Tamandua tetradactyla: one gene and its partners. The protein of the gene in region 3 binds, or shares a complex with, the protein of the main gene of each other region. Links are inferred from orthologs where the notes say so. Each region holds a gene or a part of one and is shown on either strand. Other genes may lie near its edges. The genes, in order: RASSF5, SAV1 and STK3.

The links.
Region 1: the proteins of STK3 (region 3) and RASSF5 are in contact, whole or in part, in a crystal structure (PDB 4LGD), measured with the Homo sapiens proteins. The link is inferred for Tamandua tetradactyla from reciprocal best matches to the Homo sapiens genes STK3 and RASSF5. Residues at the interface, in NP_006272.2 of Homo sapiens: Phe437, Phe439, Leu440, Leu445, Leu448, Gln449, Arg451, Leu452, Leu455, Asp456, Met458, Met459, Glu462, Ile463, Leu466, Arg467, Tyr470, Lys473, Arg474, Pro476, Ile477, Leu478, Ala480, Met481, Lys484, Gln488; in NP_872604.1 of Homo sapiens: Trp369, Asp370, Ala371, Phe372, Ile374, Leu377, Gln378, Phe380, Leu381, Leu384, Glu385, Glu387, Glu388, Lys391, Ile392, Val395, Gln396, Lys398, Tyr399, Phe402, Arg403, Lys405, Leu406, Ala409, Leu410, Ser413.
Region 2: the proteins of STK3 (region 3) and SAV1 are in contact, whole or in part, in a crystal structure (PDB 6AO5), measured with the Homo sapiens proteins. The link is inferred for Tamandua tetradactyla from reciprocal best matches to the Homo sapiens genes STK3 and SAV1. Residues at the interface, in NP_006272.2 of Homo sapiens: Trp429, Lys430, Val431, Pro432, Gln433, Gly435, Phe437, Phe439, Leu440, Lys441, Asn442, Leu443, Ser444, Leu445, Leu448, Gln449, Arg451, Leu452, Leu455, Asp456, Met458, Met459, Glu462, Ile463, Leu466, Arg467, Arg469, Tyr470, Ala472, Lys473; in NP_068590.1 of Homo sapiens: Tyr311, Ala312, Arg313, Ala314, Pro315, Asp319, Trp324, Glu325, Phe327, Gln328, Leu329, Leu332, Asp333, Gln336, Leu339, Lys340, Leu342, Phe343, Glu346, Leu347, Ile350, Val351, Met353, Tyr354, Ala356, Tyr357, Arg358, Ala360, Leu361, Leu362.

The regions. Positions count from the first base shown.
Region 1 is NC_135330.1:64,233,414-64,242,987, forward strand, and holds the start of RASSF5 (ras association domain-containing protein 5), read left to right. Parts: upstream 1-4,839; 5' UTR 4,840-4,884; coding exon 4,885-5,341; intron 5,342-9,574. UniProt on the Homo sapiens protein: Potential tumor suppressor. Seems to be involved in lymphocyte adhesion by linking RAP1A activation upon T-cell receptor or chemokine stimulation to integrin activation.
Region 2 is NC_135340.1:1,699,039-1,708,612, forward strand, and holds the start of SAV1 (protein salvador homolog 1), read left to right. Parts: upstream 1-4,770; 5' UTR 4,771-4,838; coding exon 4,839-4,932; intron 4,933-7,187; coding exon 7,188-7,631; intron 7,632-9,574. UniProt on the Homo sapiens protein: Regulator of STK3/MST2 and STK4/MST1 in the Hippo signaling pathway which plays a pivotal role in organ size control and tumor suppression by restricting proliferation and promoting apoptosis.
Region 3 is NC_135332.1:142,773,771-142,783,344, reverse strand, and holds the start of STK3 (serine/threonine-protein kinase 3), read left to right. Parts: upstream 1-3,701; 5' UTR 3,702-3,909; coding exon 3,910-3,935; intron 3,936-9,574. UniProt on the Homo sapiens protein: Stress-activated, pro-apoptotic kinase which, following caspase-cleavage, enters the nucleus and induces chromatin condensation followed by internucleosomal DNA fragmentation.

The DNA of each region.
Region 1 (9,574 bases), on a different chromosome or scaffold from region 3:
ACAAACTTTTTAATTCTGCAACCTTTTGTCATGCTTCCTGCCCACAGTCTAGCAATGTAAAATATGACTGACCTCATTACACTTCTTGAAGAGGCTAAGCACTCCATGTAACATGCTGCTCAAGAAGGGAAGCAAGGAGGGCTGGAGAAGATGACATTCTGCACTTAACAAAGCTAAGGCCAGTCTTGCTCAAATATCTGCAGAAAGGCTCACACAGTTCTAACTACCTACTGTCTTTTCTCGTAGGCCAGCATTTTCAAAGTGTAGTTTAGGAGTCACCTTAATCAAACTCTCTTATAAAATGCAGGCTGATAACCAGATTTGTGGAATCAGCATCTCTGGGGGCTGGGGCTGGGAATATGCAGTTTGAACAAATGCATGTTGACAAAGCATGGGGAGGTTTGGGGGCTGTTGTGACCACTTGTCTTTTAGCCTAGAACCCTTTTTCCTCAGACAGTCAGAGAGCTTAAATGTCCATTCCTCAGAGAGGGCCTTCCTGACTGTCAGATTAAATACAGTATCCTGTCATTTTCTATTCTATTTTAAAAATAAAATGCTTTGTTTTTCATCATAGTACTTATTATGACCTGACACTCTATCACACTCATGTCTGCCTGTGGTCTGGCTCTCCCACTAAAATGTAAGCTTCATGAACATGCCCATTTCACCGTTGTATCTTCAGCGCCTAGAGCAGTGCCTGGTACACAGTGGATATTAGAGAATTAGGGAGCATGACAAAAAGTTGAAGAATTAAAATGTTTGTGACGGTCCCTTGTAAAATGCCAGAGAAAGGCATCGGCCACCAACTCTTGGCTTGAACGACTGCGCCACATTCTGTGAAATGGCCAGCATTCCCGTTTTATAGATGGAAAACTGAAGCTCAGAGAAGTCACGTGACTTGCACAAACAGGCATTAAAATCTGGCCTCAATAAATGAGTAAGTGTTCTATGCCCTTGAAAATGGCAGTGGTCATTAGTGCTGTTTGTCAAATATTTCCAATTCTTTCCTCATTCTGAGCATACTGTAGGATCACACTTCTTGTCCCCTTGGGGCCATTTATAGCTGGTTCTGGCTAATGAGCTGTGAGAGGAAATGGCTGAAGCTTTTGAAAGCTGGCATGGCATCCTCCGGGTTCTCTCGATCCCCTCGGGCATGGTGACTGGTGACATTAGACACGATGGCTGCTCCATCAGTCTGGGCCCCTGAGTGACTGATAAGCCAGGGTCCCCTCTCCAACCTACAAAGGACAGGTAGTGTGAATGAGAAAGACGTCTCTGTGTTTAAAGGCCCTGAGATTTGAGAGTTGTTCATTACTGCAGCATAACCAAACCTATCCTAATAGAGCTGGAAATCCTTTGTGCTACTCTCAGAACCACAGGGGATTCCCTAGATGCCTCGGGGATTTCAGAAGACATCAAATATCTCAAAGCCAAACAATAATAAAATTTCCCCCTCAGAAAGTCAGGTCATATTCTATCCTCCCCTGTTCCTTCCTACCAGGGAGATTTGTGGGGGATGGGGGGGGTGGGGGTGGGTCAACCCTTGGAAAGACTCACCCAATAGGGAAACCAACATGCTCCGGGACCACCTCTGAAGTGACTTTGCACACTGACCACACACTCAAAACCCTGCTGTCATAATCCTCCCCCTTGAGAAAAACTAACAGCAGCACACCCACGCTGCTGGGAGTGAGTCACAAGCAAAAAAGTCCGCAGCTCCAAGCCAAGAGGGTCTGCCACCACTGAGAAGAAACTCTCACTGGAGCTGTCAGCAGACGCTGAGGTCTTAGCCCATAGCCTGGATGGCCAAAGACCAATCCAAAAGTTTTAAAGTCCAGGCATCAGACGCTACCCCATGCAACATCCTGACTGCACAGAGAACTAGGGTTTACTCCATACTTCTTCCTTGGAAAGGAGGAGGGAGATATACTGTGTGTGTGTGTTTCTGTGTGTGTGTTGTGGGAGGGGGTGCTTTTTGGGAGGAGACTGGGGGCTGCATAGAAGGAACCAAATGCTGAGCAAGAAGCCTTGTGCTGAGGTGGCGGGGGGGGGGGGGGGGAGGCAACTACCTCCCCCGACCTCATTTTCTTGGCTCAAAGAGATGAACCTTAAGATAAACTTGATAAACTTTTTGGACTGGTTGCATGGAATTATGTTATCTCCATATTCATCTCTGTTCCCATCCCAGAAGTTAGGAGGGCTCTGAGCTGCCCAATCTCCCTCCCGCTTTCAGTGCTAAGAGCAGCCACCACCACTTCCCCAAATCAGAGCTGCAGCAATAAAACAAAAACTGGAGCAATTTCTCCGTACGGCTCACACAACTGGAAAGGGCTTTATGCCTGATTATCCAGATAGCCCTTAGCTTCCCAGGGCAAGAGGAGCCCCTTCTCCCCCATGAGCACTGCTCTCCCGGAAAACTATGGGGCTGGGCTTCCAAAACTATGCTGGGGAATTGGGGAGCAGGAGATGGTAACTGTTGGCAATATATCAAAAAGGCCATTTCAAAACTGATCTTCAAATGAACTCTTTGCTAGATCCCTGCTTTTTCTTGCCACCCGAAGCTGTCACCCAGAGTCCAAGCTGGGTCCAGACCCTGAACCTCACCCAGGCCAGTGCACTCCTGGGAGCCAGTGATCTCCCACCAGCTCTGGTGCCTGGAGAGATAGATGGATAACAGAGGGTGGAAACAGGCAAATATTTATATGCAACACATATTTCTGCAACAATTCCAAGAGACCTGCTTGCTGAAAAAGCGGGAGAGACAGGAATAAGAGACCACAAGGCAAATTGTATTTTTCCCTTTTACATATTCAGCAGAAACCATTCAGGAATTGCTCCCTTCTGGCTGTTCCACTGAACCGTTTACCTGCCTGGTGAGGAATCCATTCTCCCATCACCATCTTAGATCTAAAGCAATGGTTCTCAAGCTGGGGTCCTTGGATCAGTAGCATCAGCACTACCTGGGAAACTGTTAAAAATACAAAATCTCAAACCCCAGCCCCACATCTGATGACTCAAAAAACTAGGGCTGAGGCCAGTGATCTGTGATTTAACAAACCCTCCGGCTGATCGTGATGCATGCTGAAGTTTGGAAACCACTGATGTAGAGAAAGTACTGTTCAAACAAGGGAGAGGAAAGGTGGAGGATTGTGGTGCACGGTCCCCTAGCTCAGCTGCCTTCTGCCTTGTAGCACTGGGGATTGGCTGCTGTGGAGCCATGAAACAAAGCAGGCTGGGAATTTCCTAGGCATTAGGCTCTAGAATTTTTAGGAATTACCTAAAATTTACCTCCAAGGGGGGAAAACAAAAGGTGAAGATTCCCCTACTGGACACTAGGGGGAGACCCCTCTCTGGTCTGGGAGAAGGAGGGGAAGTCTCAGGTCTAGCAGGATTCAGACTATTCCCCAAGTTGGTTGCTGGTGACCGCTGCTAAATCAACCAACCCAACCCCATGCTTTAAGAGGAAAGTTGTGGTCATTATGTCAGAGTGTGGGAACCCGAGAGGACAGCAAGCCTGGCTCCTCACTCCCAACGCAATTTGCAGTTCAAACTGGGGCTAGAGACAGCCAGGATACACAGGTATGTGCCAGGCTACATAGGTTGGATTCAAAGACCCAGGAGTCCCCACTCAATCTCAGTTTCCCCACCCAGGAGACAGACCTGGTGCTATTCTTTCCCACACTAAATAGGGCAAAGGTACTGGTCAGGCCCAGCTACATTATTTGCAGGGCCCAGTGCCAAAACGAAATGTGGTACCTTCGTTTAAAAATTAAGAATTTCAAAATGGTGACAGTGGAGTATCAAACGAGGCAGGGGTGGAGGTAGAGCCGGGTGGGGGGACGCAGTAGTCTATCCTGATCCTGGTAGAAAAGGGTCTCTTTGGGTCCCACAGAACTGTCCATACCTGGTGCAAAGTAAGGCTATTTGGGGGTTGGGGTGGGGGTGGGGGTGTCGGATCTCCAAAGTAATTACTCGAACAGCTGGGAGAAAGGAGCCTTTGACTTAGGTAGAAAAAGTCCCTCAGCCTACAGGGTGCGAGGGCGTTCTCACACTCCAGGGCCCTCTACCAGTATAACTCCAGTCTTACGGGAAAGAGGAATCTCCAATCCCGCAAGGCTGCGGAGGAAGGGGAAACCCGAGAGAGAGTGAAAGCCGCGCGCGCACAGTCGGCTGCGCCTCGCAGGCGGCCGGGGTGCACAGCCTGGGAGCGTCCCCCGAAGCGCGCGTCCCTCCGCGTCACGGGACTCGGCGCTGCTCTGCGGGGACGCCACCGCGGCGCACACGCACTCCCCCGCCCAGACCCGGCTTCGCAAACCAGCTGAAGGCGACGAGGGAAGGAAGCACTGTTAGGGAGCACATTCCTCCAATCGGCCTGAAATTGGGGAGGGGGCGGCGGAGCCCCGGGACCTCCTCCTCCTTGGGTTCCATCCTCAACTAGTTCCTAAGCTCTTCCCTCCCATTTGGGCGTGCTGGGGTGCGGGTGTCGGGGAGGCGGGGGTGGGGGGTGGATCGGGTATTGGTAGAAGTGAAGGAAGAGGGAAAGAGGCAGGGCTGAAGGCAAAGAGACCCTACAGGAGGGCTTTTTCTGCATTGTACTGTACAGCAGCTTTGCTATCCTAAATCCCAGATGTTCAATAGACTTCCTGAAGGCGCCCCCTAAACCCACACTCATGCTCGGACAACCCCCACAGTACAACCTTACCACCCGGTCCGTCGGCCTTTCCCTCGTGTCGCCCTTCCTGCCTCCCTGAAGTCTCCCCGCCCCCGCCCCGCCCTGTCGGCTGCGGTCCCTTTAAAGGCGCGCTGGTGTGGGGCCGCCCCTTCTCTCGGGGCTGGCTCGGGAGCTGCGCCTCGCCGGGAGACAACCGCCGCCCCTAGCCGGGCATGGCCATGGCGTCCCCGGCCATCGGGCAGCGCCCCTACCCGCTCCTACTGGACCCCGAACCACCGCGCTATCTGCAGAGCCTGAGCGGCCCCGAGCCGCAGCCACAGCCCCCCGGCCGGTCGTCGCGCCGCTGCGCCCGCGCGCCCCTCTCCGCTGCGCCCGGGGCGCACGATGGGCGCGGCGCCCGGAGGACTTCCCGGGAGGACCCGGAGCCCCAACCCCGGGCTTCCCGACCCCCTCGCCCTGTCCGGCCGGGTCTGCAACAGAGACTGCGGCGGCGGCCCGGAGCGCCCCGGCCCCGCGATGTGCGGAGCATCTTCGAGCAGCCACAGGACCCCCGCGTCCCGGCGGAACGAGGCGAGGGACACTGCTTCGCGGAACTAGCGCTGCGGGCGGGCCCGGGCTGGTGCGACCTGTGCGGACGCGAGGTGCTGCGGCAGGCGCAGCGCTGCGCTAGTGAGTGTGGGGGCCGGGCAGGGGAGGGGCGCGCGCAAGACCGCAGTCCAGGGGCGAGGGACTGCGACAGGGCTGGGAGAGAGGCGGCATTGCCCTCTCTAACTCCAGGACAGGCCCAGACTTTAGGGGAAATAGTCCTTGGAGACAGTCTGCTCCTTCGTCCCCTACCCCGTATCCGTGACGACTGTCACTGCCCAGGGATGGCTGTGCGGTAGGCATTCTACCAATACCCCTTGCCTGACCAGTGCACGCCTTCACCTCCCCACATGCGCTCAGGCTGGGATTGATAACCACAAGGTCATTCCTTGTCTTCCATGCCCCCCGCATGTTTTTATCGTAGGATCTCACTCTGACCTTGGGAGGAAGGGCAAGACCAATATTGAGATGGCCATTTGACTCTTGCTTATTAGTGAAAATGGCAAAATGGTTTGTTTGTCCACCTACGGTGTGGGCCCAAACCCCTCCTCCAGGGGGACCTGTTGAGTCCTGGCTGAGGCCATGCCTGGGAAGGAGCTGTGGGTTGAAGGGAGGCTGAGGTCACCCTGCACCTGTGCCCCTGCCTGCCTTCCACATCTGGCCACTCAGACCTTTGGACTCAGCTCTCATGTTTGGCTGTGCCCTGCCTCCTCCTCTTCTTCCTAGGCTCCTACATCAGTGGTTGGTCTTTAAAATTACCCAACTCCCGGTGGGGTCCCTCCCTCCCCAGCTCAGTCCCCTGCAGCCTTCTCCTGAGCCAGGCTCTTCTCAAACCTGACTGTAAAGCACTGGGCACCCAGCATGTAGATTTTCTGAGCAAATCTACAGTCTTCCTGAAAGATTATTATTTTTTCTTACTACAATTAGGCATGTATATTCCTTTAACTGTGTCATCCGTGCCCCCTCCCTCCTCTGTCTTTCTCCCATATTTGTTGTTGCCGTGTTTGGCAGAGGATACCCAGAGGCGTGTGTTTATGTGTTTGTATAGGTATTTCAAATATCTGAAGCACAGATAATGGCACAACCTCCAAAAAGCATTTCTTGAAATGGTCATGTTTGCATCCTTCTGCAGCGGCCTTCCCCCTGCGACAGCAGCTCTGCATCTCTCCTCTGACTGCAGTGACTTCCACATCAGGAGGCCCCTACCTTTCCTCTCTGCAGGCCACAGCCAAGGCTGGGCATGTGCCTCCCACTGCAGCAGGCTGCGGGGAAGGGGAGCTCAGACTCTAAGCCGGGGCTAAGGGGGAGGTGGGAGATTGGAGGGGAAAGTCAGAACTCATAGTTCAGGTGCTGATTAAGCAAGAAACAGCAGAAATTCGAGAGTTGTGTGCTGTGGGTGTTGAGGACACATGTGGAAGGCTGCTGTCACTTGGTAAATGCCCCTGACCTTACAGAAGAATCCAGAACAACTTGCCCAGGGATGTGTTGGCTGCTTTTGCCCTTTCTAAGTTCCTGATCCACCAACCAATACACAGGGGAGAGGCAGAATCCTCACTAAAATGGGTTTTATTGTTCTGGAATCCCAGGAAATCTGCTTCATTGGAATTCCAGTTTGTATTGACTTTTGGAGACTACATCAGCTGTTGAACATTTTGCACGTTTTGATTTTTTTTTTGGTTTGGGTTCTTAAGAGTCAGAGGTATATTTGCATATGTTTGTATGTGCATATGCAGAGTACTCAGCATGAATTTATCCCCACTTCATGCTAGAGTTGTTTATTTCCTTTGCTTAGTTCCTAAATACCTTCTAGTGGCAAGAGAGTTGAATCTCCCAAGACCCAGGTTCACGTGGCAGTTCCTTTGACTTTATGGGACTTGGCCCACTTTCCTGAGTGCCAGCTCCCCCCTTGCATCACTGCTTTAATACCCTGCTCCCCAGGCCCAGGGATGGTTGACCACCGGAGAGGGAGCAGAGCTGGAATCAGGAAGCCACAGGGAGGAGTCTCGTTATTAATACTTAACTAATTGTGAACCTGTGGCTGGCTGGGAACGGTTGAGAAATATTCTGATGTGCGAATGAGGGCTGGCAAGTGGAGTCACAACAAATCAAACTCACTGAGTATCTTTAAGTTGAAGGTCTAGTTCTGTAATGGGTTTGATTTGTTTTATCTTTATTTTGAAAAGCAAGGGCCAGAGATATGACTTTAAAAAGCCAGGGCCTATGCCGTGATTAAGAGCACAGGCTGGGACCAGAGGGCCTGGGTTGGAATCCTGCTTCTGTATCTGTGTGACCCTGGGCATCTCTGAGTCTCAGTTTCCTTCTTTACAAAATGGGGAACATAATATTACTTACTTCATCAGGTTAAGGTGAGGCTTAAATGAGTTAATATACACATATATGTCAAGTGATGGAATAGTCCCTAGCAAAATGCTTTGTAAATGTTGGATGCTGTTATTTCTAGCCCGCTCCCATCTGACAGCTATGCAACAATTAGTTGGAGCTCTTGACACCATCTAGTGTCACCTTGGCAAGCAACGAGTACAGTTTTCAAACTCTGGTTTCCTGGGCTTAGGGAGGTAGCGAGTGAGCGTACCAGGAGGTGAGGGTTTGAAGTATCCTTGAGAAATGCCACGCCCGCCACTTTGTCCTCAGGAGGAGGCTGCAGTGGCCAAGGAGAGTCCTCACAGAATGCCCCCTCTGTGTGTGACACAGGAGTCGCCAAGCCATCGGCTCTTTATCTTTGTGTCATCCACGCCGAGCAAAATGCCAGGCACCGAGCAGCGTCTTCATAAATGGTGGCTTGGTTGAAGGTGTTGGCTTATTTGAACTATTCAGTACAAGTAGAAGGGCAGGGGGCATGTGACGGCATCTGTCTGAGCAGGAGGCTGGCTCTGAGCGGGTCCATGTTGGCAAAATGGGCTTGTGATAAGGGAAGCTTTGGGAAATACATCTTCTGCTGTCTGCCTGCCTTTCCAGTAGACAGTCATCTCCCTGGTATTGACCCCTAACTCTTATTCTGTAACTGAGACCTGGTGACTCAGGTGACAATTCGGAGTTAATATTAACTTCCAGGATTAAAGACATCATGTTTGTTGGATAAAGAAGGAAATCCAGTTGGAGTTGGTGGAGAGATAGGGAGAGCGACGTTGCATGTGTGTTTTGGATGGTGATGGGAAGCTTCGTTTTTAGCATTCCAGGAGGGATCAGTGAGCACCAACTAACCTGAGAAACTCACAGGCTGACCTCTGCCTTTGCTCTCGGCGGATGTCCCTTGCCGGTCAAGGACCCTTTCTTCTATAGAAGGCGCAGAGAGTGGCTGTTTTACCTTCCATCCCATTTGGGTGGCTCTGTAAGGCATCCTGGACAGGAAATCCACCTTTTCTAAAAGTCCGCTGTTCCAGGAATGGTCTGGCTAATGGAGAACTCTGTGCCCAGCTCCAGTACACAGAACCAGGGCTGAGACACATTGTGCCCACTGCCTGTGACTGCTGCACAGTCGGAGTTTCTCTCTGAAGGGGGAGTTGTTTGGAGCTATGATTAAGTGATTTGCAATGACAGGGCTGAAGGCGGGGACCCCTGGGCTCATCATTCCAGCCTCCCCCGGGAAGTGGTAGGCGGTAATTGAGGAGGGAATGTGGGCGGCGGAGTGTGGTGCAGCCCGCTGGGAGGGGCTCGGGCACCAGCCCTGGGAAGCAGGGCTGGTATCTCACGGGGCCCCTGCCCAGCCTCTCAGCCCTGACTTGTCACCGCACTATTGTCTGGGGTTAACAGCTACTCGATCCTGCCCACACACCTGTTGAGAGTTCTTTGCAGAAGAGCTTCTGGGACATTGATTCTTCTGCAGCGGAGAAAGGTCTTCATTTCAGGCATCCTGGAAAGCGCCCTGCGTGGTCCCAGGGCTGCTGGATTTATTTACCTTGAGCACCAGGAAGGAATTTGTGCAGTGCGCCCAGCAGTGCCTAAGTGGGTGGCTGCAAGTGTTTTCATAGACTTAGGCCCACATTTGGTTTCGGGGGGGAAGAAAATTAAACACGGAAATGGATGTTTTGTTGTTAAAGATGCTGGAATTTCCCCACCCCCAAGTCTTCCCCCACCCCTGGTCCTAACTGAGGTCTGCTTCTTGGGAAAACTCCCATTGGAGTGTGCGTGTGTTTGGGGACAGGGAAGGGACCTGGAATACCTTCAGAGAGGCCTTCTGTGTCCCCCAAGCTGCCTCCTCTTCTCCCCACTTCTTGTCTTCTCACAAGATGAAAGTGAAAGGATTGCACACGGGCTTGATTTCCCCTATTCATCAGAGCATGAAATGTTCTGATTATG
Region 2 (9,574 bases), on a different chromosome or scaffold from region 3:
GCCACATAGTTGTATAGTCTTCACCATGATCATTTTTTAGAACATTTGCATCACTCGGAAAAATAAATAAAAAGGAAAAAGAAAAAACTCATATATACTATACACCTTACCCCTCCCTCTCATTGTCCACTAGTATTTCCATCTATCCAATTTATTTTACCCTTTGTCCCCATTATTTATTTTTTTATCCATATTTTTATACTCATCTATCCATACCCTAGATAAAAGGAGCATCTAACACAAGGTTTTCACAATCACACAGTCACATTGTAAAAGTTATCTCTTTACACAATCGTCTTCAAGAATCAAGGCTACTGGAATGCAGCTTGACAATTCCAAGTACTTCTCTCTGGCCACTCCAATACACCATAACCTAAAAAGAGGTATCTATATAATGCATAAGAATAACCTCCAGAATAACTTAATAGCTTTTAAATGAAAATGTAAAAATAATGATTTTTCTTAAAGAAGGAATGCCCATTGCCGTCCCCATGGAGAAGAGATTCCTCTCGATAACTTCCTCTGCTGTTCCTGCAGCTTCGACCACAGCAGAAAGACACAGACAACCGAGCTGTCTCAGCTGAGCCCAGACTTTCAGTGAGAAAGAGAACTGCCCAGATAAACTTAGTCTGGCACAACACAGCCAGCCCAGCCAAGATGTGACAATACATATGATAATTTTAAAAGCCACTGAGTTTAAGCCACAGGGATGATTTGTTATACAGCATTATGGTGGCAACAGCTAACTGATACTTCGACTTCATTAGGTTTCTGTTACGTGCTTAGCGCCCTAGAATATGGTAAGTGCAGATATGAGGCACCATTATTAAAAAATATATATATTTTTGCATATTTCCTTCTGCCCATTTTAGCACAGAACTTTAGGAATGAAAAACACTTTGGAAATGCAGTAGTCCAATTTCTTCATTTTCAGATGAGAAAACTAAGACCCAGAGAGCTATAAGGTTAGCCCAGGTTTGTTTAATGTTATACTAATCAAAAATAGTTGTTAACTCACTAATTGTCTATTTTCTCCACTGAGAATGCAAATGAAAGGGGAAAAATATTTCTATTATGTAATACAGTATTAGCATTGTGTTTGGAGAATTAAAGCTGCAAAATCTGGATTCCTTAATGAAAAATTTCAGAATTCCAGGAATTTCTGGAAAACATGTGAATTCAAAGCCTCTGGATTCAAAGTTCAGATATTTGCTATGCATTGCTACTGCTGATGCTGCCTGCAGACTGTTGATTCTGGCATGCACCCTCTTTGATAAAAAGTCAAATTATAAGTCTTAAAGAGAGTACCTAACAGATTTTTTTTCTTTGTAATTCAAAGAATTGAAATTGCACTGAAAAAGGGAATACTTTGTAGGGAATATGGATGGCCTTCAGAAACAACCGTATTAGAAACAGTCTGGATTATATTACTGGGATTTTTAATATGCTGCAGCAGAGAAAGGCTCAGAATGGGAAAAGAAAATATTTCTGATACTAATCTGCTGTAAACCAGGAATGTGATCTGAGGCAAACCATTTTTCTAGTTTTGTTTCTACATCTATAAAATGAGGTTAGCCTAGCTAATCTCAAAATTCCTTTCCAGTTATAAAATTCAGCGATTTCTTTCCCCCATGAATGTGGAAAGTATCCTCTACTTCAGGCTCTGGGAAAACCCAGGTGGGAAAAATTGACGTTATTAACAAGACCCTAATATCCTTTTTTTCTCTCATCCTTCCAAGGTAAGTAGGCCCTGTGCCGAAGACTAGCACTTTTGGCACCACTTTCTCCTCCATACCCAATCTGTAAGAAAACCCCATTGTTTTTTCATTTATGTTTCATCACTCTTCTCCACCCACCCTACCAACACTTTAGTACCAGTCCTTACTTCTGAACAGGAAGAAGTGACTGCTTTTCTAATGTTCCTCTAAAAGTACAAACTGCTTCTTTTTTTTTTAACATGGGCAGGGACCGGGAATCAAACCCAGGTCCTCTGGCATGGCAGGCGAGGATTCTTCCCTGCTGAGCCACCTTGGCCCACCCTAAACTGCTTCTTTTGAGGTCTGTTCTGTTCTAGCGTTAAAATTTACATTCCCATGGGAGTGATCCTTGATTTCTCTCTTTTCCTCGTGTTCCAATTCAATGCCAGCAACCTCGTTGGCTCTGCCTTGAAAAGATGTTCAAAATCTGACCACTTATTTCCACTGCTATTACTCTGGTCCAAGCCAGCAATAGCTTCGGACCGGTGTCTCCTCTTTGCCCTTTTCCTAAGTCTATTCTTAACAGCACCCAAAGTGATCCTATTCAGAACATCAGGTCGGATGAAGCCACATATCTGCTCAAAGTCAAGGGCCGTCAAGGCTCTAATTTCAATCCCTTGTACTCTCCCCTACATCCCTCTGTGCCTGCTGCACCGACCTCCTTACTGTCCTTCAATCTGCCAGGAATTTGGCCACCTGCAGCGATGCCTTGGCTGTGTTTTCTACCTGGAATATTCTCCCTCCAGACAGCTGCATGGCTGGTTCCCCATGTTCCTGTCTCACGATGCCTTTTCCAGTCACTCCGTCAGTGCCTAAAATTGCAAACCCTCTTCCTGGCTTTCCACCTCAGCTCTTATCACTAACATTCTGTTTTGCATATTATCTTTATCGTATCTTCCCCAGCACAGTAGGGATTTTTGTCTGTTTCATCCATTGATACACCCCAAGGATCTAGAATAGCACCTAGAAGTGGGTGCTCACTAAATATTTGTGGGTTACTCAATGAATAGCAGGAGATCTGTACTAAGAGGGCATAAAAGCATCATGCAAAGATGGAAGTAGACACTAGATAAAATGTTTTTTCATGGCAAAACACAATTTGATCATCGTCTTAATCTGGTGCAGTAGAAAATTCCATACCTTTTGTTAATTGTGGCATAAATTTTGTATCTCTTGTGAAATAAGTTTCAGATCTCAAGGAAAGCATTCTCTATTATTAAAAGTCTAATTTACCCAGGGATGAGCCTGGCCCTGGCACCGTGGGATCAACAATGCCATCCTGACATAAAGGGTGAAAAGAAGTGTAGCAAATAAGGTATCAGTGGCTGAGAGAGTTCAAATAGAGTCAAGCGGTACATGGAAAGTCACTCTTACTTAAACTGAAGTTAGACATTGCTACCTATCATAACTTGCCAAACCCCAAACAAAACCATTCCTGCCAACCGTAAAGAACACCTAGGGCTTTATATAAGATCCTACAAAGCTTCCATACACTAGGGTGACTTTCCAAAACCTACAGCCTCCAGATGGGTGCCTGGTCCAGGTAAGCCCAGCCTCTGCAGAATATCAGCTAGTTCTATCGCCCCTCCCATGTCATCAACAGCCCCGTCCAACATGAAAAGTTAGAATGGGCATAGCCCAGACACCCCTAGAGTGGAGAAGGACCAAAGGTGATGGTGGAGTTGCACAGAGAAGGTCGGGTTTAACAAATGAGCGTGACTGCTCAATCATGACACTGATATTTATTTGAGCTTCCAGTACCTTAGAGGACCTAAAAGTAAAAACCTAAAGTTGTGGAATTGTAACCCAATCCAAACTCTGAAATCTGTTCTACAACTAAGTGTTGTGATGTACTTTGCTTTTATGCATAAATGTTGTTTAAAGGAGAGGAACATAACAAAGATAGGATTTAACACAGATGACTGCTGAATCATACTGATATTTCCGTTGGTCTCCAGTGTCTTGGAGCAGCTGGAAGTAAAAATGAAAAATTGTGGAACCGTAACCTACATCAAACTTAAAATCTGTTGCGTAAGTACTTGTTAAAATGTACTTGGAATTTTATTGCTTTTATGTATGTGTATTTCACAATAAAAAAGTGTAAAAAAACAGGCCTCTTTAGTTCACCTGGGGATAGATCCTATCTTATTTGCTCACGATCCTGTACCTTTGGCAGTTCCCGGTCAGTAACAGCGAAGTGTAGTCCACGCTTTTAAACGGAAAATCCCAAACCCTCATCTCTGGCGTTCAAAGCCCTCAAAACCCGAGGACGGAACTAGCTAATTCCACGAGGAAGTACGTGACTGTTTCCCACCAGTGTGCGACTACACACGTACAGACTCAACACTGCCGTGAACGCGAGGTGCGAAAGCGTCGCCCTTCGTCCTTCCTGCACGGCCGGCGCACTCGGCGGCCCCGCGGCCCGTCCCGGCCGGCCAGCGTCTAACGGACCACTCGTCTCGGTCAGGAGGCTCCAGGTCCTCGCGCAGCGCCGCCCGACGGTGTCCCAGGGCCCGGGCTAGTCACCCGATCCCAGGCCGGCGGGCGTGCAGGGGTCCTGGGGGCAGCGGTGGGGAGGGGCTCCGTGCGGCGCGCGGTCAGGTAGGACACTGGCCGGCCCCCTTCGGCCCCAGTCCCCTGCAGTCTCGCTGCGGAAACCACAGCGGCCGCCCCTCCGCCCCGGAGCCGCGCGGTCAGCCGAGGGCCAGCGCCGACGCCCCGGGAGGCGGGAGCTGGGGTGGGTCCCAGGCGGGCGGCGGGTTTCCCAGAGTTCCCAGCGGCGGGTTTCCCAGAGGCCCCAGCGGCGGGTTTCCCAGAGTTCCCAGCGGCGGTCACTAGGCGGCGGCGGACACTGGTGCGGGTCCATGGCCCGGGCCCGGCTCTGCCGGCCTCTCGTGCTTGCGGTCAGCGCGGCGGCGCGGGCGGACTTCCGGGAGGCGGCTGGGGCGCGGCTGGGCGGCGGGCGGCGCGCGTAGCGCCTGGCCATGCGGCCCGCCCCGCGGGCGCCCCGGGCTGCGGAGAGGACCCGGCGCCGGGCTCTGGGCGGGCCGCGTGGCGCGGCCTCGGGCCTCGGCTGGAGGGATGCTGTCCCGAAAGAAAACTAAAAGCGAAGCGTCCAAGCCGGCGGAGGTGCAGGGCAAGTACGTCAAGAAGGAGACGTCGCCCCTGCTGCGGAGTGAGTGTCGCGGCCCCGCGGGCGCGCGTCTGGCCTTGGTGCCTTCCGCCTTCGTAACTTTTTGGTGCATGGAATGCCGGTTGTTTGAAAATCGCTAAGGGATAAAAGAGCAGGAAACTTGGTTGGTTGTTCCTTCGGGAGAGTCCCTGAAATAGCGCTCCTGGCCGCGGCGAAGGTCCTGCCCACGCTTCCGGAGCGCTCGGGCGTTGTGGGCGCCGAAGTCCGGGACGCGCCTTTTCCTGGTCTGGAGACGCGGAGAGACGCGGAGAGGCGCCCGGTCGGCTACTGTCCGGGCGCCGCCGCCTGTGCAGAGGGGCGCAGAGCAGCCGCTCCCAGGCCCCTCCGCTGGCACCACGGGCCGTGTGTGTGTGTGTGTGTGTGTGTGTGTGTGTGTGTGTGTGTGTGTGAGTGTGTGAGAGAGAGCACCCACGGGCCGTGTGTCTGTGTGAGAGCACCCACAAATCCTGTGTATGTGTGTGAGAGAGCACACACGGACCCTGTGTGTGTGTGTGTGTGTGTGTGTGAGCACCCACGAATCCTGTGTGTGTGTGTGTGAGAGAGTATCCACGGACCGTGTGTGTGTGTGTGTGTGTGAGAAAGAGAGTATCCACGGACCGTGTGTGTGTGTGTGAGAGAGAGAGAGCACACACGGACCCTGTGTGTGTGTGTGTGTGTGTGTGTGTATGTATGTGAGAGCACCCACAAATCCTGTGTGTGTGTGACGGTTTACACCACCCATTTAACAACCCTTTTCAGATTCCAGGGAGGCAAAGTAGCTTAAAACGACTTCCATCCTGTTCTAGGGAAAGTACCAAGAAGTCGTTTAGACTGGAGTAGGATCTGTCTGTCGCCGTGTGACTCTGGCTTCCGAGTGGGCGTGGAGGACGGCGTGATGTAGGAGCTGGTGCCGTGCTGCTCCCGCAGTGCGCCGAGCCCTCGCGTTTCCTTCCCGCGAGCGCGGGGTCCCTCGGGCGCGGCTGGCTCGTGCCCGGTCCGCAGCGCACGGTGGGCCAGACAGCAGGCCAGACAGCAGGCTTCCCCTGCAGCCACGCCGCAGCCTTCTGGGTTCGTTGTCGTGCTGGAAGGGCTTTCCCATAGAGCAGAGCAAGTCCCCTGGGGGCATCAGCTGCCCGAGGCTCATTTGTAAAACCTTTTTTATAGCTTGCTGTACAGTGCACGTGCTCTTAGGTTTTTGGCCAAGGTCTTAAATGATAGTTTGCAGTTTGCTGCACATAGTTTACTAAGCATTACTTGAAGCTCCAAAATATCTTTGCCACACTTTTTGGCAAATAAAAGCTTTTACTATAGTATTTTGTGTTTTAGTTTCATGAAGTGTTTATCCTTACTTATTTGGGCATTGACTTCTTTCTCTCTGAAACCGTTAATATGAATGCCCTCTAATAAGTTTACATAATGGCCACAAATCTCATTTTCTTCGTGTATTAACAGTTTTTGCTTTCTATCTGGGAATATCTGAACTGTTTTCAAGTTCTGTACTAAGAAGTATCTGGAAAAGCCATTGTTCTATTATCTTCTTCAATTGCTTGGTTCTTAGAGGAGCCATAAATTTAGGCTTGGTGAATTTAAACTGATTAAACATTCGTGTACTTCTTTGGAATGAGCCTTTTTAAAAAAATCTTCATATCAAAAACTTTGGCTTTCTAGCTTTTGATTACTCTCCTAGTTCTAGGTAATTCCAAGAGTAAGAAGACTGGATTAATAAGTTCAATTTTTTTTTTGTAAAGGTATCCAACTTCACATATTTTTGGAGTAGCATTATGTTTTGTTTTATCTTAGAAATGTTTGCTTGAAGAAGGAATTTTAGCAATTTCTAAAATGAAGTGAAAAATACCAAAACAAACTATAATCTTACATAATTTTGCTGGTAACTACATAGATGTTTCCTGTTTTACACATTTATTCATGAGTTATTTCATTAAGTATGCATTTTATATTTAAGTTTGTTGGCATTTTTCCATGTTATATATGTATGGTGGTACACAGAATGTATTTGATTCTGGCTGAGCTTACATATAGTACCTTCGTATACAGTATCAATCCATTTGGGTGGGGAAATGTTAATTAGCCTTAATCTTAAACTATCCAGGTACTATTTTAAATAAAAAATTTAAGAGATGTTCTCTTAAGTTCATTGAAACTTTGCATTTTAGGGGTGGTAGGTGTAACCTGACAACTTTTGAAAAGTGTATTTATTATTTGTTGAAATGGTCATTTTATTCTTTGTTTTATTATAGATCTCATGCCTTCATTCATCCGGCATGGTCCAACAATTCCAAGACGAACTGACATCTGTCTTCCAGATTCAAGCCCTAATGCTTTTGCAGCCTCTGGAGATGGAGTAGTTTCAAGAAACCAGAGTTTCCTTAGAACTCCAATTCAGAGAACACCTCATGAAGTAATAAGAAGAGAAAGCAACAGATTGTCTGCACCGTCTTTTCTTGCCAGGAGTCTAGCAGATGTCCCTAGGGAATATGGCTCTTCTCAGTCATTTTTAACTGAAGTTAATTTTGCTGTTGAAAATGGAGACTCTGGTTCCCGATATTATTATTCAGATAACTTTTTTGATGGTCAGAGAAGGCGGCCTTTTGGAGATCGTGTGCGTGAAGACTACAGATACTTCGAATACAATCATGATCTCTTCCAAAGGATGTCACAGAATCAGGGGAGGCATACTTCAGGTGACTGAAAATTAGAAATATTACATTAGTTTATTTGTAGAGCACTGACACTTTAATTCGAAAGATACTCTTTTCTGAGATTTTTTTGGGAAGCTAACAAATATTCCTAGTGAAATACGTTTTCATTTCCCCAGACTTTTTAAACCAGCTTGCAAAAAGTTATTGCTCTATACTGGGTCAAAGAATTCTTGTGTCCATTTATTTTATTAACTTATGTTATATAAACTTGGTAGCTATCTCAAGGCTATTTTAACTACTAACATTATGAGCCTTGAAAACCTAGAGAAGTTAATGTCTTCAGTTGGATTGAATTTAGGTTTTTGTTTGGTAGAATTGGAAAGTTTAAAATTCAGAGGAACTGGACTTGAACCTGGGAACGAAGAGGAGGCTAGGAATAATTGGGCATGCTAGGTGAAGCCTAACTATGGTGATGTAAGTGAGGGTTAGTGCTAACTAACCATGCATGCACAACGACATACTTGTGTTGATAGAATCTGCACTCTTTCTCTTAAAACTATTTTTATAGCTCAGTAGTTATTTCCTGAATTGGTAAAAAGATAAATTTATTGTCAGATCATATGGTTTATCAGGTACTGAGCATATCTTTTTGTTATTCTTTATGGAATAAGCAATAAATATTAGCAATGTAATTAAGAAAAAGTCTACTTTCTCTAACTATTGACATGGGGATATTTTTACAAAGACTACAAGAGAGACAATAAATGCAGTTATATTTTATGCTTAAAAGTACCAAATTACACTAAATGATAAAGCAAGGCAAAAATTAAACTTGGTCATCTCATTATTTTTTCCAAGTTAGTTGTAAGCCCTAAATTTGGGTAGGATTAAAAAAAACAACAGCTGTACATAAGACAGATTTACCTTACATCCCACTTAACTTCAAATAAGCTGACTTAAAAAATAGTTTGAAGTACAAATACTTTGATTGTAGAAAATATTTTTTTCATTGAATATTAATCATTTATGTGTCTAGCATCTTCCCTGGCTCTCTTTCTCTCTGCCCTCTGGTACCTATTTGGGAAAACAACATCAAAATACACAAACTACTCACAGAATTATAAGTATAGTATTACTGACTGTAAGAGCACTAGGGAATCGCAGGTTATCAGGGTGGGCTGGGTGTTAGAGCATGATTCAAGAAAGAGATAGGGTTTGAACAGGGCTTTGTACTTGGATTTTATATTACAGGAAGTAAAAGAAGGGCATTTTAGATGGAAAATTGGCAATAGCACAGTGAAGGCAGAGAAAAGAGGATTGCAGGTATCAGTGGTAATGGAGAGAAAAGGACGAATCTTTTTCTTTTTAAGGGAAAATAAAAAATTTTGGATTAAAAGAGTAAATCGTTAAAGTTTTGAAAATTGGGGAATAGTGTGGAATTGTTGGTAAGAGTAGTTTATTTGCGAAAGCCAATGTTGGGTCTCTTAGGGACACTGAAGTGGAGAATTTTTCTTTGCATGTGAGTGCCTTTTTTGTTTTTTGAAGTAGATTAAAGGATTAAGACAATTGCATAGTTTACTGTTTTGGCTATTTCTAATATTTTGCATTCTAAAGTTCAGAAATAATTTATTGTCCAACTAAAATAGTTTTTAAAATAAAGCATTTATATTTTATTTTAGAGTAGTCTGTGCTTTTTATAGGGAGTCTACAAAATGCAGAAGAGTAAACTACCTATCATACCAGATGCCTGTTAGTATTTTTATTTCCTTCATCTTTTTCAGTACCACTTTCTTTTGAGTTGTTATAGTTATACTCGTACAGTTTTGTATTTCTGCTTTTTTTCTTGAATGAAGTTTTTTTGGGGGGGTGCATGGGCTGGGAATCGAATCTGGGTCTCTTGCATCACAGGTGAGCATTCTACCACTGAACCACCCTTGCACCCCTTGAATGAGTTTCTTAATGTTTTATTCTTTTAATGAGCAGTT
Region 3 (9,574 bases):
GACCCAGCATCAAGCATTAAGAAAGCCTTCTTGACCTAAAAGGGGAAGAGAGAAATGAGACAAAATAAAGTTTCAGTGGCTGAGAGACTTCAAACAGAATGGAGAGGTTATCCTTGAGGTTATTCTTACATATTACATAGATATCCCTTTGTTCTAGTTTGCTAGCTGCTGGAATGCAATATACCAGAAACAGAATGGCTTAAAAAAAGGGGGAATTTAATAAGTTGCTAGTTTGCAACTGATAATATGTCCCAATTAAAACAAGTCTATAGAAATGTCCTAGCTAAGGCATCCAGGGAAAGATACCTTGATTCAAGAAGGCCGATGAAGTTCAGGGGTTCTCTCTCAAGTGGAAGACACATGGTGAACACAATTGGGGTTTCTCTCTTGGCTGGAAGGGCACAAGGTGAACACAGTCAGGGTTTCTCTCTCATCTGGAAAGGCACATGGCTAACACAGCGTCATCTGCTAGTTTTCTCTCCTGGCTTCCTTTTCATGAAGCTCCCTGGGAGGCATTTTCTTTCTTTATCTCCAAAGGTTGCTGGCTGGTAGACTCTAAGCATTCTCTGCTCTCTCTGAATCTCCCCCATTCTCCAAAATGTTTCCTCTTTATAGGATTCCAGTAAACTAATCAAGACCCACCCAAATGGATGGAGCCATGTCTCCACCTAATCCAACTTACCACTCTTGATTGAGACACATCTATAGGGAGATGATCTAATTACAGTTTAAAACATAAAGTACTGAATAAGGATTGGAAGAAATGGCTGCCTTTACAAAATGGGATTAGGATTAAAACATGGCTTTTCTAGGGTACATACATCCTTTCAAACCAGCACATACTTTTTAGTTTATGGTGTATTGGAATGGCCGAAGGGAGGTACCTGAAACTGTTGAGCTGTGTTCCAGTTGCCTTATTTCTTGAAGATGATTGTATAACGATATAGCTTTTACCATGTGACTGTGTGATCCTGAAAACCACGTGTCTGATGCTCCTTTTATCTAGGATATGGACAGATGAGTGAAAAAATATGGGTAAAAAAATTAACCATGAAGATAAAGTTTAAAATAAATTGGGTAGATGGAAAAACCAGTGGTCAATGAGAGGGAGGGGTATGGGGTATGGTGTATTTGAGTTTTTTTCTTTTCCTTTCTTTTTCTGAAGTGATGCAAATATTCTAAAAAATGATCATGGTGATGAATACACAACAATGTGATGTTGTGAGCCATTGTTGTAACATCATATATGGAATGTTTGCATGTTAAGATTTATCAATAAAAATATTTAAAAAAAAAGAAGAACATGGCCTTTTCTGGGGTCTATAACAGCTCTAAACCAACACAATTACCAATTAGGTTCTTATGTTATTGTATGTTTCCCCAACGTGGGTGTCATGGTCATGTTCGTGTGTCAACTTAGACAAGTGGTGGCTGGGCAAGTGCTGACTTGTCTGTTGTGATGAGGACATTTCATAGAATTAAATAAAGAGTTGAATGAGATTATGTAGGCCAAATGTCCTCCTGTTGGATTCATACAACATTTGTTAGTACTCTCCCTTTTCAAACAGAGGGGAGACACCGAGGATTTATTTTCTAATATTAATTCTCCTTCTTTCCATAAACCTTCTTTTTCGGTGTCAGTCAGGGTTCCAACAGAAAACCCTTTTGAAAGTATACTCAAATTAGAGTCATCTGAGGAAGGGTTTAATGACAAAGGATCATTTGAGGAGGCTGAGGTGTAGAGGAACATAGGGAATAGAGGAGAAACCTAGTAAAAAGTAGAACAATCACATGGCCCCTAGGTCTAAAGGGAGAAGGGGAATGAAGGAGATTTGGGTAAAGTGTTTTGCCTTGAGAAGATCATTGAGGACTTCCTGGAACACATCTAGTCCCAGGAGACCTCATAAATAGTCTGACTTCACACTCCTTTTCCCCCTTGCAGAAGACTTCCTGTTGGGTTTCCCTATCTTTAGACTTATTTAAAAGAGAGAGGGCTAAGGAGCCCTTTGATGTGAGCCCACGGGTCAGCCCCCAGGGCAGACAGCAAGGTGCAGAAGAGTGGAGAACTTCAATACAATGTGATAAGCACCACACAAAGCCCAGCACAGAGTACTATGGATTCTTAAAAGTGAGGTTTCTCTTTCATAACTTGAATTTGTGTGGGAGGCATGGAGTGGTGGTACTGGGCTGGAGTTTGGGAGGGGCTTCCTGGGGCTTAAGGCAATTCAGAACTCATTTTAACTCTTTGGTTTATCTTGCTATTGTGAGTCTTCAATATATTCAAATGAGTATACAAATTTGCAAGAATCTCATTTACAAAATTCGACTTTAGATCTCAACAATGAGTGGCCTTAAATTTAAAATAACTAAATTTGGGAGGGTGGGTGGATATGATGGTTTAAAAAGAAATTGTGAAAGCTTGTTACATAATAAAACTTAAAAATGCAAAATGAGGAATAAGTGTTGTGGTAGACTGAATTATATACTCCAAAAAAAGAGATATATTCTTATCTTAATCTGCATTCCTGTGGGTATCAACCCATTATAAGTATGAACTTCTGAAGATACTATTTTTAGTGAAGGTATGGCCTCACTGAATCCCGTCAGCCTTTGTCTATATTACTGGAGGCCTTATAAGAGTCAAGAGCCAATACTGGATTTAGGAGAAACTGGAAGAGCAGGTGAGAGAGTGAGAATGAGAGAGAAAGAGAGAGAAATTCCCAAGAATTGCTGCAATCCAGCGTGAGAACACTGAGAAAGCATGGCTTGATTTTGGACATCTGGTCTTCAAAACCATGAACCAATGAATTCCTGTTGGTAAGCCAATCCATCGACAATTTAGGCTAATGTTCATAAAGACTCTTTATTCAACATTCTCTTCTATATATTGTTCCACCCTTGAGAAAACCGTATAGGACTTTATACCTTGACAATTTATAATAAAAACAAGAAAACTCCTTACATAGCAGTTGTAGTTGGTCATAAGAAAGACAGCCACATGTGGAATTTAAGGTTAAACATGAAGGGATACTATCAGAGTAGGGTGAGTGTGGTTGGAACAGGTAGGGAGGAGGGCGAGAAGAGGGAAGGAAACAAATTTTTCTTGAGTGCTTTTCTATGCACCATAGGTTCTGCTATTTCTTGCTAGGTTACCTAATAGAATACTGCGTTTGTGCCTGAGAATCTCACTGCAGTAATTATTTTCTCTGTAATTAGATGTAATTATTGTGAAATGTAATGAGGAGCCTGTCCACAATCAAAAAAAACAAGAATTTCCAGGAGGATCACCACTACTGTAGCTACAAATGTCAAATCGCTGGGGGAAAACAGAAGCAGTAATTATAACCAGAACTAAGGAAGAAATCCTGGGCAGTTAGTAGTACTTCAAACGGCTTCACAAGATGCTTGGGATGCATCGTGTGGGAAATCCAGAGAAATGTTTCAAATCGCATTGGGACAAACGCAGGGAAGAGAAATGAGGAGCAGCAGTCCTGAACCGGCTGTAAAGGGACCTATCCCTCACCAGCACAGAAGAGTCCTTAGATAGCCTCAACTTCTGGATCTTCCAATCCACCCCTCCCCTTTTCCCTTCTCTGCGCCGCGGCCCGCCCCTTCCCGGGTCTCCGAGTCCACTCACTCTCCCCGCCCCGCGGTCGGCCCCGCCCACTCCCCCTGGCCCGGCTCCGCCCACCACCCTGCGCTGCGGCCTGAGGCCGAGGGGCGGGGCAGGCCGGGAAGAGCCACACTCCCCAGCGGCCGTAGGATCCGCCGCGGAGTTACGAGAAAGTTGGTCCGAGTTCCTGGAGTTTCCTTCCTTGGCTCCCCGGGCCCGGCCGGCGGGTGTTCCAGCTTCTTTCCTCCCTCCAGCCTTCCCCGCCCGCCAGCTCCCTCTCTCTGCCCCAGGCCGCCATGGAGCAGCCACCGGCGCCCAAGAGGTAATCAATAAGGGGAGCGGGGAGAAGGAGGGACGCGCCGCTGGCAGCCCCGGGGCGGGTTCGGTTAGGCCAGGCCAGATCGCGACCCCCCACCCCGGCTTCCGGGCTCTGGGCCGGCGCGCCGTGGGTCAGGAGGGAGGTCCGGCTGCAGGCGCCGCCTGTCCTCGGGGCGAGGGGACCCGAGCGGAGGCCGTGACTGGCTCCCCCCGCATGCGTCCGGCGGGGCCTGGCGCGCGTGGAAAGGAGAGTGGGCAGCGCCCGGCTCCCCGCGGCCGGACCTCCTGCGGCTCCGGGGCAGGTCGAGTTTTCCCCTCGCGGCAAGTTTACGAAGACTGGGAGACATAAAACAGGGACATTACTAGTGTTCTGCCAGTCTTGTAGGCGTTCTTGTCAAATGTTCTTCGTAATTTTTTTTGTTTGTTTAAAGAAGTTGGGTTGTTTATTTACTGTTTAAGGAATTAAATATTAATAGGCACACAATCTCTGAAACTTGCGGATTTGCCGCACTGACAGGTGTTTCTCCACTTAGTTCAAAAGTATTTATGGATGCTAGACAGTAGGGATCTTAAATTAGAACCCCTTCCCCTATAGTTTTTTGTTTTTCTTTTAGCATGTAAAAATAGTGATGCTTTGGTATTTACTGTTAGTTTATGTTTAATCTATGATATTATATTGGAAATGTAAGAATGCAGAGTAAATACGTTTGAATTAATATTTGAAATGATCTAAATAAAGATTGTTTATTGATACAATTGCATAATATGGATTTTTCCTTCAAGAATGTATCTGTAGCTTGATATTGGAAAAAAACATTAACTTCAGGCTTTCTTTTTTTTTTTTTGAACTATTTTTATTGTATAGTATAACATATATACAAAGCAAAGAAATAAAAAAGCAATAGTTTTCAAAGTACTCTTCAACAAATTGTTACAGGACAGATCCCAGAGTTTGTTATGGGCTACCATACGATCCTCTCATATTTTTCCTTCTAGCTGCTCCAGAATATGGACGGCTAGAGGGCTTAAACACTTTTTATCATCACAATCGACTTTTTTTTTATTTCTTTTTTTTGTGAACAATAACATATATACAAAAAACCTATAAATTTCCAAGCACGGCACCACAGTTAGCTGTAGAACATATTTCACACTTTGACATAGATTACGATTTCACGTTTTTACTTCTAGCTACTCTAAAATACTGGAGACTAAAAGAAATGTCAATTTAATGATTCAGCATTCATATTCATTTTTAAGTCCTATCTTCTATGTGTAATTCTGCTGTCACCTTTGATCTTTCCATACCTCTCTTGGGGTTGTTTGGGCTATAGTAATTCTAAATTTTTCATATTGGAAGGGTCTGTCACTAATATGGGTAGGAAGATGGAACTATCTGATGTTCTGGAAAGGTTGGGCTAGGTTTCAGGACTTATGTGGACCAGGGACCCATCTGGAAGTTGTAGGTTTCTGGAAAGTTACTCTAGTGCATGGAACCCTTGTGGAATCTTATATATTACCCTAGGTGTTCTTTAGGATTGACTGGAATGGTCCTGGTTGGGGGTGGGCAGATTATGATCCATAGCAAGGTCTACTTGAAGCTTGCATAAGAGCAACCTCCAGAATAGCCTCTTGACCCTATTTGAACTTGTTCTGCCACTGATCTTTTATGAGTTATACTTCTTTTCCCCCTTTTTGGTCAGGATGGAATTGTTGATCCCACGGTGCCAGGTCTGGATTCATCTCTGGGAGTCATCTCCCACATTGCCAGGGAGACTTTCATCCCTGGATGTCATGTCCCACGTAGGAGGGAGGGCAGTGATTTCACTTGCAGAGTTGGGCTTAGAGAGACTGAGCCACATCTGAGCAACAACAGAGGTCCTCCAGAAGTAACTCTTAGGCATGCCTATAGGTAGGCTAAGCTTCTCCACTACCTACATAAGCTTCACAAGAGTAAACCTCATGATCAAGAGCATAGCCTGTGGATTTGGATATCTCTAAAGTTTGACACAGTATCAGGGGTTTCAAACCTTACCTAATGGTAAGGTTTAATAGTTTCATGTTCTTTTTCCCCTCCCTCAGGAGACTTTGCCAGTACTTTTTGATTATCTGCTTAATATACTCTACGATGTATCCAGGCATTACAATAATCTATACAAGATTAAAGGACCTCTTTCTTATTCTGTGCTTCCTGTGTTTCAGTTATTCAAATGAGCTATACAGATAGGTTGAATTAGATTATACACGACTGAAAATTTCAATTCCAGATCAAATAAACCTTTCTTCTATTGGTCTCAAAGAGTATGTGTGGTTCTAAAATGTAGACGCTTTTTCTTACTCCTATATTCTGAATTACTTTAACCCCAACCTGTTCGGCTTTGTTTTTACTCTAAATATCAGGTTATATATATATATATATATATATTTATATATAAAACAGCCTCTCAAAATCCAGAAATGTTAATCACCACTCCGGACTTAATGTATCTACTCAAAAGCTTACAATCTAGGCCCCTGTTTTCTTATAAGCATTTTCTAAAGGTGTCCATGCCATTTTTTTTTTTTTTTTGTTTGTTTGTTTCTGGCTTATTTTGTCTCACCAAATGTCCCATATGTTCATTCACATTGTTGCATGCCTCATGACTTTGTTCCTTTTTGTAGCAGCACAGTCTTGTTCATAAGTATGCACCATCGTTTGCTGTTTTACTTCTCCGTTAGTGCATCCTTCAGCCACCTGCCTTCATCAGGCATCACTTCAAGGGCCCAAAGTCCACAGTCCATCAACATTCTCAAGTTTAGATAATTTCATTGTTCCCAAGAGACAGAAAACCAGTAAACACATCTTTACCAAATAGAAAGTCTAAACCTCCTCTTGTCCCTCTCACCATTATTTACCTCTGCTGTTGCTTTGGTAGTGCTGATGGTTTCTTTTTGAGCATAGCTCATAGCATGCAGTAGCAGTTTTCCCCCTGTACCCAGGACTTAAACACTCTTTATACAAGAATCATATCTTTGAAGTAATTCTTATGAGAACTCATTCTTATTTTTAGTGTGTGTCAGTGAGACATGTAGGTCTATAAAACCCCTTTCGATCTTGTTCATCTTCAATATGGTAATATTACTTCTAGACCCACTAGAGAATAACCCTCACACTTATCTATTCCCTTACATTGGAGTTCAGCCTCTTTAGCTAATAGTTCACCCATCTCTAGCTTCTGTGTATCTCTAAGTCCCCTATCTTCTGTACTCATATAGTATCTATCCTTTTGTGTCTGGCTAACGTCACTCAACATTGACCTCAAGTCTCACCCATATTATAAGCCTCTGATTATACCTTTATGCTGGTCATAAAAGTAGCTCTTGTAAACAGTATATAGCTGGATTATGTGTTTTTTTTTTTTTTTGCATGGGCAGGCACTGGGAATCAAACCCGGGGTCTCCAGCATGGCAGGTGAGAACTCTACCTGCTGAGCAACTGTGGCCCTCCCTAGATTATGTTTCCTAATCCATTCTGCCAATCTGTATCTTTTAACTGGTAAGTTTAGTCTGTTAACATTCAAGTTTTTTACTGAAAAGACATTTCTTGATTCTACCATCTTATCTTTTTCATTTTGTTTGTCGTTTCTATATATTCTTTTCCCTCTTTCTTTTTGTATTCTTTAAATTACCCTTGTTGGTACTCTTCAATTCTGTGCCCTCCTCCAGACCTCTCTCTCCTGTCTTTGTTTTTTAGCTGCCAGAACTCCTTTTAGTATTTCTTGTAGGTTTGGTCTCTTGTTGATAAATTCTTTCACAGCTTCTTTGTCTGTGAAAACTTTAACCTCTCCCTCAGTTTTGAAGGACTCAGTTTGGCTGAGTACAGAATTCTTTGCTGGTAGTCTTTCTCTTTCAGAATTTTGAGTATATCATATCACTGCCTTCTCACCTCCAGGGTGCTAGTTGAGTAGTCTGAACTCAATCTTATTTGATTTCCCTTGTATGTAGTGGATTGTTTTTCTCCTGCGTATTTCAGGATTTTCTGCTTCTCTTCAACATTTGACAGACTGATTAGTATGTGCCTTTGAGAAGGTCTGTTTGGATTTATTCTATATGGAGTTCTTTGGGCTTCTTTGGCTTGTATATTTATATCCTTTATGAGGGTTGGGAAGTTTTCCCCCATTATATTCTCAGCTACTCTTCTTAGCCCTTTACTCCTCTCTTCTTCTGGGACACTAATGATTCCTATATTTGTGCGCTTTGTTTTGTGTATCATTTCCCTGAATTCCTATTCAATTTTTTCTATCTTTTTTTTTTTTTGTTATTTTCTGTTTTGAGTCTTCAAAGTCAATTATCCTGTCTTCTCTATTACTTATTCTTTCTTCTGTCTCTTCAAATCTGGTGTTATGTGCCTCTAGTATGTTTTTTATTTGGTCAATAGAGTCTTTAATCTCTGTGATTAAATTCCTCTTTGTGGGGCAGGCCACGGTGGCTCAGCAGGTAAGAATGCTTGCCTGCCATGCCCAAGGACCCGGGTTCGATTCCCGGTGCCTGCCCATGTTAAAAAAAAAAAAATTCCTCTTTGTGCTCATCTTGATCTCCTTTATGTCATTTGCTATTCCACTTATTTTACTAAATAGAGTTGTATGAATATCTTTGATTAGTAGTTCCAACGTCTGTGTCTCCTCTGGTGTTTTAATTTGGTCACTAGGCAGGGCTATATCTGTCTGCATTGTAATATGCTTAGTGATCTTCTCCTGTCTTCATGGCATGCAAATATCTTGATTGATTTACTTTGGGAGTTGATTTCTTTCAGTAGTCTAAGGCCTTTTGTTTGGGGATGGTTGTACAGCAAGGAGCAGGGCACAGGATGGAGCACTCAGTATGGTGATTTGTTTCAGGGCAGGTAGGCACAGGTTGGGGATGTTACATTGATACTTGTGACCGTGGGCGCCCAGTGGCCAGGGAGGATGTAGCTGTGGTTTGTACCAGTCTGGGAGCTGTAACCCTGGTGTGCGCTGGTCTAAGGCACAGGGCCCTTTGTGCGCATGTGTAGAGCTGTGGCACCACTTTGGTGTTACGGTTTTATGGACTGGGGGCAGATGTGACCCAGCTGCACAGGTTGGCACTTTCTCAGAGCTGGCAAGTGAAGCTGAGGGCTGTGTGCATGCGTGGTTCTAGGACTGCTGTAAAGTGTGGTTCCCAGAGCTGAATGCTGCGACTGGGGGTCCATGTGCATGCGGGGGCCTGGAAATGCTTTAAAGGAATGTGCTGAGCTCAGAGAGGGCAGTTTGAGGCCTTGCGACACTGGGCAGGAGGCGGAGGTAGTCTAGGTATGGAGGTTAGTCCCTGCAAACTTTATGTGCTGGCAACAACCTGCAGGGAACAGGGAGGGGGAGGTAGTGCTCAGGAGGTGTGTAGGAGAGGTGGGTTGGGCTGCACTTGGGGTGGGATTGTGGGGCAGGTATGTGCACTGGGGGCTGGTGGGGTGGGGGCGCCTGGAGTGCAGGGAATGGGAGAGGGTGATGGAGCTCAGGTGCATGGGGTGTGGGGTGAGTCACCGGTCACGGGGCTGTGCTGGTGAGGGTAGCTCACCCAAGGAACACAGCCTGGCTTACTTCCTAGTCCTGTACTCCAGTCTGCACACTCCTGTGGGCTCTGTGCCTC